Linked DNA regions of Mus musculus. The protein of the gene in region 1 purifies or fractionates together with the protein of each later gene. This does not show direct contact. Links are inferred from orthologs where the notes say so. Each region holds a gene or a part of one and is shown on either strand. Other genes may lie near its edges.

Region 1 (3,943 bases):
TTATAGTCCGTCTGGATCATAGTGGTTCACTTTGGTCCCAGCCTCTCTTCTGCATTCATGGACTTAACATGCTGAGGGCACACGGAAGGTATTCTGAACACCTGAGCAGAGACGCTTCCTGTGTCTGTTCAAAACAAAACGCAAAGGGCTATGGAGAGTGGGCTCCTTCTCGCTGAATAAATATATTCATCCATAACTCGCCCTGTCTGCGGGCATAGACTGTGCTCTGCCTGTGGACACCGGCGCGTTTCGTTTCTTCCTTCCTTCCTTTCTTCCTTCCTTCCTTCCTTCCCTTCTTTCTTTCTTTCTTTCTTTCTTTCTTTCTTTCTTTCTTTCTTTCTTTCTTTCTTTCTTCTTCTTCTAATTCTTCTTCTTCTTCTTCTTCTTCTTCTTCTTCTTCTTCTTCTTCTTCTTCTTCTCTCTCTCTCTCTCTCTCTCTCTCTCTCTCTCTCTCTCTCTCTCTAGACAGGGTTTCTCTGTGTAACCCTGGCTGTCCTGGAACTCACTCTGTAGACTAGAGGCCATCTGCCTGCCTCTGCCTCCCAAGTGCTCGGATTAAAGGCATGCGCCACCACTGCCCGGCGGTGCGGGTTCTGAACACCAGTTCCTCACAGTTAGATGTTAGCCTGCTTGGAAAGAAATCGGACAGGATGGCAGTCTCGAAGTTCTGGCCCCTGCTCTGCTTTCTAGTCCAAGCCGGGGGGCTAAGCTGTGAATAAAGCTCACCCTTTAACTTCAGCTCAAGGGGCAGTCTACATCATATCCAGTTAACAAAGGAGACCTAGGTGCTGACTTCTACCCAAAGGAACCTACTTCTAAACACTGTCCTGAATGAAGTGCAGGCAGGTGTAAGGAGCAAAGCAGTGAGCTAAGGGCCTCCGTGCACAAGCCAGCCCCTGCCCTTGGCTGTATGGCACCAGAGGGGAAAGATTGGAACAGCTCATCCACGCCTTGTTTTTTCAGTGAACCAGCAATCTACCATTCGTTGTCCAGGTGTCCTTGGCTGCCGCTTGCACCCCTCTGCAGCAGAGAGCAGCCACAGCCTCTGCCTGGACTCCCACTGCTGCTGGGGAAGAGTCCCGGGGCTGCTGACGCGGTTGGGAGGAGCCTCGCCTTTAATGCACCAGCCGCCTCCAGCCTCCTGCAGCAGGAGCAGCAGCACCAGCAGCAGCTGCGAGTGCGCCCCTGTGGGTGTGAGGGTGAGAGCGCTGGCGCTGGCCGCAGCGCCCAGCCTAGCTCCCCGCCAGCTTTCCTAGCCCCCGCCTGCGGGAGCCGCCCTCTCGTGGGACCAGCACCCTCATCTCAGCAAGGCAAGCCTGAATCCTGCCCCTGCCATCTCGCCACTGCAGTGTGGGTCCGGAAAGGCACCATTTTGTCGCGGCTGCCCGCTCTCCCAGGGGGAGGAAAGCTCTTATTTTTTGCATTTTGGAGCCGCTGCCTGCCAAGGGGAACCTGTTGGGCATCTCCCCAGCCCTACTTGGGAACGTCTCCTGAGCGGTCAGGCAGGACTAGACCCCTCGTGGGGGACACAGAGCTTCCTGGTACCCGGAGGCAGAGGAGGCAGACGCAGCATCCTCGTTGGGAATTGGAGCTGAAGTGAGCGCACCGTGCGGGAGGAGCCACCGCATCCGCGGAGAACCGAGTGGAGGAGGTGACAGCTCCATTGCCGGGTTTTTATTTTCTTCTCTCTCCGCCTCCCCGTCTCCTCCTCAGGCTCGGACCATGGTGCAGTCCCACTGGCTCCCCTGCCCCCCTCTCCTGTGAGACTGGCTGCGGGGTGGGATCATGGATACTTGTCTGCCGGCTTCTGGTTCCCACGCAAGTAAGCCTGCTGTCAATGGAGGAGGACATTGATACCCGCAAAATCAACAACAGTTTCCTGCGCGACCACAGCTATGCAACCGAAGGTAATGCCAGCTCGGCCGCATTCCGCCGCTGGGGTCGGGTGCAAGTTGCGGATAGCCCTGCTTCATCAGTGGCCAGGCGCCTAGTGGCAGAGACTACTCCAGGCTCTGGGGCTGGAGCACTGGGCGGGGGCTCAGGCTAGGCTCTCGCTCAAGCCGCCAGAGGGGTTAGGGGTAAGGCAAATCCATCCGGGCTGGGCTCCGTGACTAGAGCCCCATGTTCAGCAGCAGGTGGACCAGGTACCCCCGGGAGTTAAAATGGCCTTTAGGGATGAGGCTTTTCAGGGTGCGGCTCCCAGGCAGACAGATGAACCCAAGGAAGCAGATGACACCTTCTTGTCCCAAGATGCTTACAAGAATCTTGGACTGAGATGAGAAGGGAGGGGCCCAGGAAGACCATGGTCCACCCCTCTCTGGGTACAGTGATGCTGAGGCTCTCGGTGACTGCAGCAAGAGTACAGCTTCATTTCTTGCCCATTCATTTCTCCGGCTCACTGGTTTACCTGCTCAGACAATCAACCCCCCCCTCCCCTAAAGGCCTTTCAGCAAAAAGTAGGGGAGCCCTCTCCCCTTGAAAAAACATTAGCCAGAAATTTTTAAAAAGGTAGCTGGGGAATCATGATTCGCGGCGGACGAATGAGGCTGACACGTGGGGCGAGCAGCGGGATCTGGGTCCGTGGGGCCTTTAAAAATCACCATTATGAATTCTGCAGCAGTACTTTCTGCTGAATCAACAGCCAGCAGAAAGCAGGAGGGTTCAGCAAGCTGAGCTTTGCCAAGAGGTGAAATTGTGTTCGCTCACTCTCTGGCTTGCTGGCTCTCTCTCCTTTCAGCCAGCTCGCTCTGACATCAGCCTAAATGCTGGGCAGGCAGGCAGGCAGGCAGGCAGGGAAAGTCAGCAGGTGGACTGCATCTTGCTCTTTGTGTACGAACTGAGTAAAGACGGTTTAGTTTTATTTGAATGACAAAACTTTTGCATTCGAGCTTCATTTTCTACCTGTGGGTGTTGATTTTTGACAACTAATATGAAGTATTGGAATCCCCGTGGCAATGTCCATGTGAGAAAATGCGTGCAGAAGTGCTTAGGGAAAATGTAGCAAGGCATATTAGCCTGTGACCCTTCTAGAATGCTAAAATTTCAGTAAGATTGGGTCACATCAGAAGAATGCACTGGATCAAGTAAGGGTGCGAGCTCTGAGGGAAATGGAAAAACTCATATACGGAGGGGAGGGCAACGGTAGCACCTTCTACAAAGATCTCTGGAAATTTTAGACAGAAGAATTCCAAGTGCTGTTGAAAATACTTTCGCCATTCATCACCATGTCTGGGAACCAGCAAGCCCAACGTGTCTGTAGTACTCAGACACACTGTAAGCTCGAAACCTTGGAGATGATTTCTTTTTAAGATGGACCACCCATCTCTGTCCCATGTTGAATAGCATTCTTGCTGATTCTTAAAAATCTTTCACAGCCGTGGTGTGATTATAAGTCTTTGTGCTTTATGACTGAGCATGACCAGGTAGCAATGACATCCAGTCATGCCATCCACCAGAGAGGTCAGTCTTGAATCTGTGAGCTTTGTGGTGGCTAGGAAGCTTTGTATTTGTGACTACAAAGAAAGAAGGTTCCCCCTGGTGTTTTCTTCTGTTACATTATGCAAGAAGGGGAAACCTAACAAACCAAGAAGGTGACTACATTGAAGCCAGGTGTATAAGAACGTTACTTGCAGGAGGAAGAAGTTTAAGATGGCATCCTTTATTGTTTCCAAGGTCCTGGATGCTACCTGTGTACCTATTCAGTGGCATTTTTATACATTCCAATTCTGGGTGGAATATTTAACAATGAAGCAAGGGTTTTTAATCAAAGAGCTTTAAATGTTTTCTGGTATATACAAATCAATCTATTAAACCCCTGTATATGGTCTTAGGGAAGGCATGGGAAGAGTGGGAAATGGAACAGAGCAAGAAGTTCTCTAATAGTCTCGGTCTGTGCATTTCATGGAGTATCCATTTCGTTGAGTCAGACAGTAAGGAAAGAGCC
Region 2 (3,952 bases), on another chromosome or scaffold:
TTTTTAAACAGGATTTCTGATTTTGGTTGGAAAAATCTATGGAGAGAGAACATGGTGGTGCCTGGCTGGTTCTATCTTCATAAAGACTTCCTACAAAGCACTGGTGTAGGTGTGTGCGGAGACTTTTCACAGGGCCCTAACCAAATCTCCTGGTAGGCAGGCTTGGCCTGCAGAGCTACATATGGATTCACCACCCAAAGTGACGGCACAGGAAATGGGGAGCTCCACACACACTCACAGGTGCTATCTCAGTTATGCGGTCCAAATCTGAGAACTCTGCTCTGCCAGTGCCTGAAAACCTGAACTGCATCACAGGACATTGCCCTGAGCAGTCTCTGGATACTGCTGTGTCTCCTGCTGCCCTCCTGCTGGATCCCAAGTGCACGCTCTTGTGATAGCAGGAGTGACATCTGCAGGAAGGTCTCCTCAGAGAAAGCAAAGAACAAGCCACAAGGCAGTGGGCTTTCCTCCATTCCGATTACTAAGACTAGAGAACCAAGTATTTCTACACCTTTATTTCTCCGTGTACAGTAGGGAAAGGAATAAAATAAAAATGGCACAATTGACACACAAAAAACATGGTTGGGGTTGGGAAAGGGTGGTGGTAAGTAGATGGGGGAGGGGTCCCCATTACAGCAGCAAAAGCCAGTGACCTAGGATGCTCCCATCTCTCCCAATATGGGCAGGAACAACCAGCCCTTCTTTTCAGGCTGCTGTCCTGCAACAACTTGTACTGCTCCAGCCCCTTGGGAGGTGGACAGAGAAGTCTTCCCAGGCTACAGAGGAGGAACCGAACCGTGCTGGGGGAGGAGCCTGGGGTCAGACCATGCACAGGGAGTGACAGTCATTTGCCCCCACCACCTCCCTAAGGGAGGTAACTTTGTGGGGGTTGGAGGGTGGACACCAGAGGCCGGCAATGCTTCTTCTTCCAGCATCAGGCAAGAGAGAGAACTGGGGAAACAAGAACAATACGCCTCAGAACCACACCACATTCTCCAACCACATTTCTGAGTGCTGCCCCATTCCCCGGAGCCCTCACCCTTCTGCCAGAGGCTCTACACTCTCAGGCCCTTACCAGTCAGAGCCTCCTGGGCAAAGTACTTGACATCCACATCCTGGTCCTGGGTCAGCTTCTCCAGGATGGGCTTGACTTCACTCTGCAGGGTGCTGGAAAGTGAAGGGAAAAGAAGATAGTGAGATAGTCTTGCCTTGGATGGATGGATGTGTGTGTGTGTGTGTGTGTGTGTGTTCGGGGGTGGGTGGGGTGGAGGAGTTGTGCCCACAGGTAGAAAGAGGGCTCCGGTGAAGGTAAGTATCAAGACAGGAACACACCAAATCATAAGGCAGAGTATAGAACATGAACACACAAAGCATACACATGGAAAATTCCTGATCTCTAGGCTTGTAATCAAATAGTTAAGCAGGGAAAGCTCTTGGGTTAGCACAGGACATGAGCAAGTCTGACAAAGTAGAGCCCACAGGCCTTGAAGCTGAGCAAAAAGATTCCTTTAGTGACTGAATCCATGTTCACTGAGGTATTGTATACTTAGTATGAATACAAAAATATATCACTCTAGATTCTTGCTCAGATAAGCCAAGACTACAAGACAAGGCCAGTAAGTGGCAAGATGATCAAAGGCTTCTTGGTTTTAAGGGGCCTAGAAGTGGCATATACTCTTTATGTAAGGAGACATGGAGGAATATGCCTATCCTGTAAGGAAGGAAGACAGACCTTGGAGAGAAAGGCTGTGGAGCAACTATGAGACACACAGGCATCAAATGTTGGCAGACCGCTCCTCTATCCTCCATATAACCACTGTCTTCATTTCTACCTCCTAGAGTTATGCTTTTGTTGTTATTTGCTTGCTTGCTTTGTTACTTTTTGGGAAGCAGGTCTTTCTATATAACTTTATGTTATCTCAAGCTACATATCCCATCCTGGTCTACAACTCGACCCTCAAGCATCAACCACCAGAGTGTGCTGGGAATTCAGCAGCTGCCTACCACTGTGCCTAGCATTTTGACTTTTTCCCTCGAATATTCTTTCTGCCCCCCAACCCCCCCCACCCCGCACTCTTTGCATTCCTCTTCCCTGCTGTGTGTGTGTGTGTGTGTGTTTGTGTGTGTGCGCCCAGGCACATGTGCATGTGAATGGACACCATCTGTATGTCTTCAGAAGCCCGAGATGGGAACTAGAATTAAAAGCATGAGTGATCTTAAGTACACATGATGTGAGATAAGTCCAGGCCCTCTCAAGAGAAGCTAGTGCTCTTAACCCCTGAACCATTATCTCTCCAGACCCATATTAACTATTTTAACTCATACTCTGTACCAGCATTTGGATTATTCTTTCTTATGATTATAATATATAAGCCCACCACATTTTCAAGGGGTTGAGGGGGTAGCAACACTGAGTACTGTCTAAAAGCAAGGGCTGGATTAGGGTCTACATCTAGCTAGCTGGATCCTTCCAGTTAAAATGCTCATCCTATCTGCACTACAATTCCCATAGCACGATGTTCAGCCGAGTATTTCAGCTGTAACCTGTGCTATGTTAACAGCGTACACTGCAGAGCACCTAGTCGATGTCCTCACTGAGCATGTGAAGACAGTACTTTTAAACTGAAACAAAAGCACAAGTTACCTCATTCTCATATTTTCACATATATTAATTTTGACTACCTTCCTTCCTCCCCTCTCTCAACCCTACTTGTAGCTCTCATCTTCCCATACTCCCACTTGAATGTCATATGCCATACTTTCCTCTATGTCTTCTTCCCATGTGTATCATGGGAATTCTTTATCTTCCTATATATAGGATACTAGAGGAGTTCTTTATATAGAAACATCTCCACACTGTCAGGTTAGCCTTCTGATACACAGCTTTTCATTTTCTTGAGGGCCATCTTATCAATCACTTCTTTTGGCATCTTAGCAGGTTTATGTCCAACTCAAGACATGAAGACATTCTATATTTTCTACATGTTTTATTCATCATGCTGGTTCTAGCTCAAAAACTAATTTGTTTATGTAGAGGCAGAAATTCTGTTTGGGTTTATGTGGGCAACCAACTGATCCAGTCAGTTTTAGAAGACAGACACTTAGCCATCAAACTACAATGGTACCAGAGTGCTCTAGAAAATATTCTAGTGAGACATGAATATCCTGTCCCTGCCCCATGCTGTTTCTAAATTATGTGTCAGGTAGACTTGAGGTGCATAGTTTTGTTCTTTAGGATGTATGGGCTAGCCAAGCACTCTGCATTCCCAGGCCAGTTCCTACTAAAACTCTGCTGATATATAATGGCCTCAAATATAAGTACAGGGAATGAAGACTATATGTTTACCAAAGCTTCCTGTGGCAGTGCTTAATAGTTTCCCTAGAAATGTTAAGTATATTTCATTACATGTATTTTTTTTTTCTTCTTGTTTTTTGAGACAAGGTTTCTCTCTATAGCTCTGGCTGTCCTGGAACTCATTCTGTAGACCAGGCTGGCCTCGAACTCAGAAATCCACCTGCCTCTGCCTTTCTTTTTTCATTGTACTCTAGAGAAATGAATTCTTATTCTAAAACAGAGAAGATAGACTTTGTGGAGAGGAAAGAACAGGCATGGGTCACAACGCATAAAGAAATCAGACCCTGAGTTCTGTCTTTAAATATCTAAGATGTTTAGAACCCCCAGACCTCACCTGTTATCAAGAATGGGTCCTATCTTCTGGAGTGACTTGGCCACATTGAAGCGGACATTGGCAACTGGGTCCCCTGCCATACGAAGAACTGTGGGCAGCATGTGCTTGGTGGTGATATCCTGTCCACAGACCTCAGACAACACCTGAAAACCAGTGAATGGCAGAAGTACAGTTATGCAAGGCTTACTGCTAAGTCCCCATATATCTTCTTCTGAATATGCTGCCTGAGTCATCATCAGGACCCAGGAGCAACATGGAAGGGT
Region 3 (3,500 bases), on another chromosome or scaffold:
AGCCACCCACTACCCATCACAGGCAAGCAAGGAGCTTGTGGGGAACTGTCTCCACAGATCCTAGATTGCTGTCTTGCCAGGTGCGCTTCATTTTGCCCCAACCTGTCCAGTACAAACATGACACAGCTCATGAAACCACTTCATCTAGCTTCCTGTCTCCAGTCTTTTACTCAGGAAAGAAAAATACTGCATCACATCGAAGCAGGCACCTCTGCTGGTTATATTGATTTGTTTACCAAGTAACTACCTAATTAACTGGCAAACATGTTGCATTTGGCTAGCGCAGGTTCCTTGGAGGGGCAGTGGGAATATAACGAGGGCATGTTTTCTTCTATCTATTCTACTGATTTTTTTTTACAAAAAAAAAAGAAAAGAAAAAAGAAAAAGAAAAGAAAACTAAGGTATACTTTGAAACATGAAGTTGGCTTTCCTTGGCAAAAAATCACATGAATAAGTGGCTTGCAGATGCCTACTGTACAGATGTTTTGTGCAATCTGATCTCCAGGCAATGAGACAACCCGGCGTGGTGTTCACTGCATGATTTTATCTGTTGTACAAAACTACAAAATCCAAAGTAAAAACTGATCATGCTGTGCGTGCTTCCGCGCCAGTGGGGGGCATCACATTTTACCCCCTCTGTTGCAGCACAGTTTGCTGCTCGGAGAAAGCTCCTTTTTCCTCAAAGACTTTTTCCAAGACTCACTCACACGGTTTCTCTCATTATATCCAGTCTCAAAATAATCGTAAAATTGGCCTTTGCACTCAAAATCAAGGTCGTTCCCCACAGGTTCTTGGCCGAGGGCATCACCATCTCTGCTGGTTTCGTGACTTACTTTCCCATCATTGTTGAATTTGACCTTTTCCTGGACACCAAGCGACCTAATGTTAGTGACAAAGATTTCGCTGGCGGGTATTTGGCTCTTGTAAATAGGTGCACTGCCTATGTCAAAGTCCACATGGTGGGAGCAACTAGGCAAAGGCAGAGGGGAAGAGGAGGAGGAGGAGGAGGAGGAAGAGGGAGAGGGAGAGGGAGAGGAGGATGAGGATGGGGAGGATGAAGAAGAGGTGGATGGGGAGGAAGAGGAAGAGGCAGCCGAGGCCACAGCGGCGGCCGAGGTGCTTCCAACACTTGTATTGACAGAGAGGGGTAGGTTCAGGCAGTGACCACCACACTCCTGATAAAAACAGCAAGTGTGGATCTTTTCCCACTCCTCTTTGGCCACCCGGGGCCGTTTCCGGTAAGGACAGTCTTGAGCCAGGAACCACTCTTGGGCGGGGGTGCCACCGAGGGAGCAGGCAGGGAGGCACCAGCTGTTCTGCATGACAATCTCCCCGTGGATCCTCTTCATCAGGTTGTTGATCAGAACAGACCTTCGCAGGTACACTTCTGGGTCATCGATGAACCTGAGCTTCTCCAAGGACATGTAAAGGATGTGTGCTCGCTCCTCGAAAATGGAGATGGTCTGAAAACCAGAGGCAGGAGAACCCTTATGAAACAAAGCTTGTGAAAAGAGTATCACTCGTTTAGAGGCTGGCCCCATTGCGGTGGATACCCCCAAACCCTCCTGTTTCCTAACTTACTAGTGTGGACCTGAGGAGGGCCCAGCCAGAAGGCTCAGTCACAGTGAAGGAGAAGCTTAGACACAGTCAACCAGAGCTGTCAGAGCTCAGGCCAGTAATTGTTGTGGGGGTCAGAGGTCAGGCCAGCAATTGTTGTGGAGGTCAGAGGTCAGGCCAGCAATTGTTGTAGGGTTAAGAGCTAGGTAATCTGAAGCAGCACTGAGAGGATTCAGCTAGACCTCGCTGTCAGTGACAAGGGATGCTCTGGGTGAAATATATCAAGCTATAGTTCACATGTCTTTGTGCAGAGGCACATGCATGCATTTCACAGCAGTATGTTTTAAAATTCACCCATTTTTCAAAGAGTCTTACTACTATTAATTGATTTTTTTGAGACATGGTCTCTCTATTATGCATCCTTGGCTGACCTGGAACTCATTATGTAGACCAAGCTAGCCTTAAATTCAGAGAGATCTGCCTGCCTCTGTCACCTGGATGGAATTAAGGTCTGTGCCATCCGTAACAGTTGAAAATCATTTTTATGTGTATGAGTGTTTGTCAGCACGTTTGTCTGTGCACTATGTGAGTGCCTGATCCCCATCCGTGAGAGGCAAGAAGAGGACACTGGACTCTGTGGAATTTGAGTTACATTCAGTTGTGAGCTGCCAAATGGGTGCTGGCAAATAGAACTCAGGTCCTCTGCAAAAGCAGCCAGTGCTCTGAACTGCTGAACCATCTCTCCAGCCCCAGCGCATGTCTTTTACAGATTTGAGATACAGGTTCTAGTGGGCATGGCAGAGTGTGGATGAGGCCACCAAGGAACACTGCTGGCTTTGCATACCTGTCGTCTGCCTTATTAAGTAAGAGGGAAAGTACAGCCAATGAAGCTCAAACTAAGCACCTGGAAACGGAGGGCTTTGGGGCAGAAAATAGAGAAGCAGAGAGAAACTGGGGGTGGGGGATGGGGGGGGTCAGTCCTGGGCTGTGTGAGGCTGTCACTGGGTGAAGGATGCTGCAAAACCATTAAAAATTGTTATTATCGATAACTTGTTTTTGTAAAAATAAAATAAAAACGAGACATGGCTTTGCTATGTAGCCTATGCGGCCCTGGACCTCACAACAGAGCCCAGACTGAACTTGCAGCAATTCCACCTGCCCTCCTTTCAAGTGCTGGGATCACAGGATGTGACATGAAACCTGGCACATCCCAGTAGCAACTGGAAAACTCACGGAGCCACAACACAGAAGCTAAAGAAATAAACATGGGTGCCTTTTTACAAACAGGCAGAAGCAACATCTGAAGGCTGGGGAAGGGTGGGAGAGGGGAGACAGAATGAATGGGTTGCATAGGGCCTCAGCACCTGGGCCACTGGGCTCTGGCTGCTCCTCCTTGGTAAGGTCAGTGGAGGTCTGGAGGGAAGGCACTGTATGGAAGAAGAACTAATGCTCTCATGCCCAGCTCTTCACCTCATGGGCTTTCCCCCTACGGTGTTATTTCTTTACGTTTGTCAAAAGAAAAATAGCTATCTTTGTTTCCTTCCTTGGGAATGAATTCTGAATTTTGACAAACTTGACATATGCTAGGATATATCAGGAAGAGCATGACTGCTTTCTGTGCATGCATCCAAGGGACGATTCATTGACCTCAGGAGGTCAGGAAAACCCCAATTAGCATAAGCAGTGGCCTCGCAGTCAAGTGCATCTCCACCACATGATACGACAGAGCAGCCCTATCCCTCAACCTGGGAATATTAAACCACAGGCAAAAGGATGTGTTTCCTTACGTAATATTATATCTGGGGAGAGAATCTCTTTCTGGTTCTTTCTTCAAGGAGTGTGAGAAGGAACACAGCCTCTGTCCTAGTTAGGGTTTCTAGTGCTGTGAGGAAGCACCACAGCCAAAAAGCAAGCTGGGGAGGGAAAGAGTTTGTTAGGCTTAC

What was found. The genes of interacting proteins can lie anywhere in the genome.
Region 2: the proteins of Ppp2r2b (region 1) and Ppp2r1a purify together in Homo sapiens (co-immunoprecipitation; 9 studies listed by BioGRID and IntAct, with this or other methods). This does not show direct contact. The link is inferred for Mus musculus from reciprocal best matches to the Homo sapiens genes PPP2R2B and PPP2R1A.
Region 3: the proteins of Ppp2r2b (region 1) and Sertad4 purify together in Homo sapiens (co-immunoprecipitation; 3 studies listed by BioGRID and IntAct, with this or other methods). This does not show direct contact. The link is inferred for Mus musculus from reciprocal best matches to the Homo sapiens genes PPP2R2B and SERTAD4.

Annotation. Positions count from the first base shown.
Region 1 is NC_000084.6:42,896,709-42,900,651, reverse strand, and holds the start of Ppp2r2b (serine/threonine-protein phosphatase 2A 55 kDa regulatory subunit B beta isoform), read left to right. Parts: upstream 1-1,143; 5' UTR 1,144-1,837; coding exon 1,838-1,907; intron 1,908-3,943. UniProt on the Homo sapiens protein: The B regulatory subunit might modulate substrate selectivity and catalytic activity, and might also direct the localization of the catalytic enzyme to a particular subcellular compartment.
Region 2 is NC_000083.6:20,962,454-20,966,405, reverse strand, and holds the end of Ppp2r1a (serine/threonine-protein phosphatase 2A 65 kDa regulatory subunit A alpha isoform), read right to left. Parts: intron 3,833-3,952; coding exon 3,690-3,832; intron 1,168-3,689; coding exon 1,076-1,167; intron 952-1,075; coding exon 935-951; 3' UTR 501-934; downstream 1-500. UniProt on the Homo sapiens protein: The PR65 subunit of protein phosphatase 2A serves as a scaffolding molecule to coordinate the assembly of the catalytic subunit and a variable regulatory B subunit.
Region 3 is NC_000067.6:192,845,753-192,849,252, forward strand, and holds part of Sertad4 (SERTA domain-containing protein 4), read right to left. Parts: intron 1,464-3,500; coding exon 621-1,463; 3' UTR 1-620.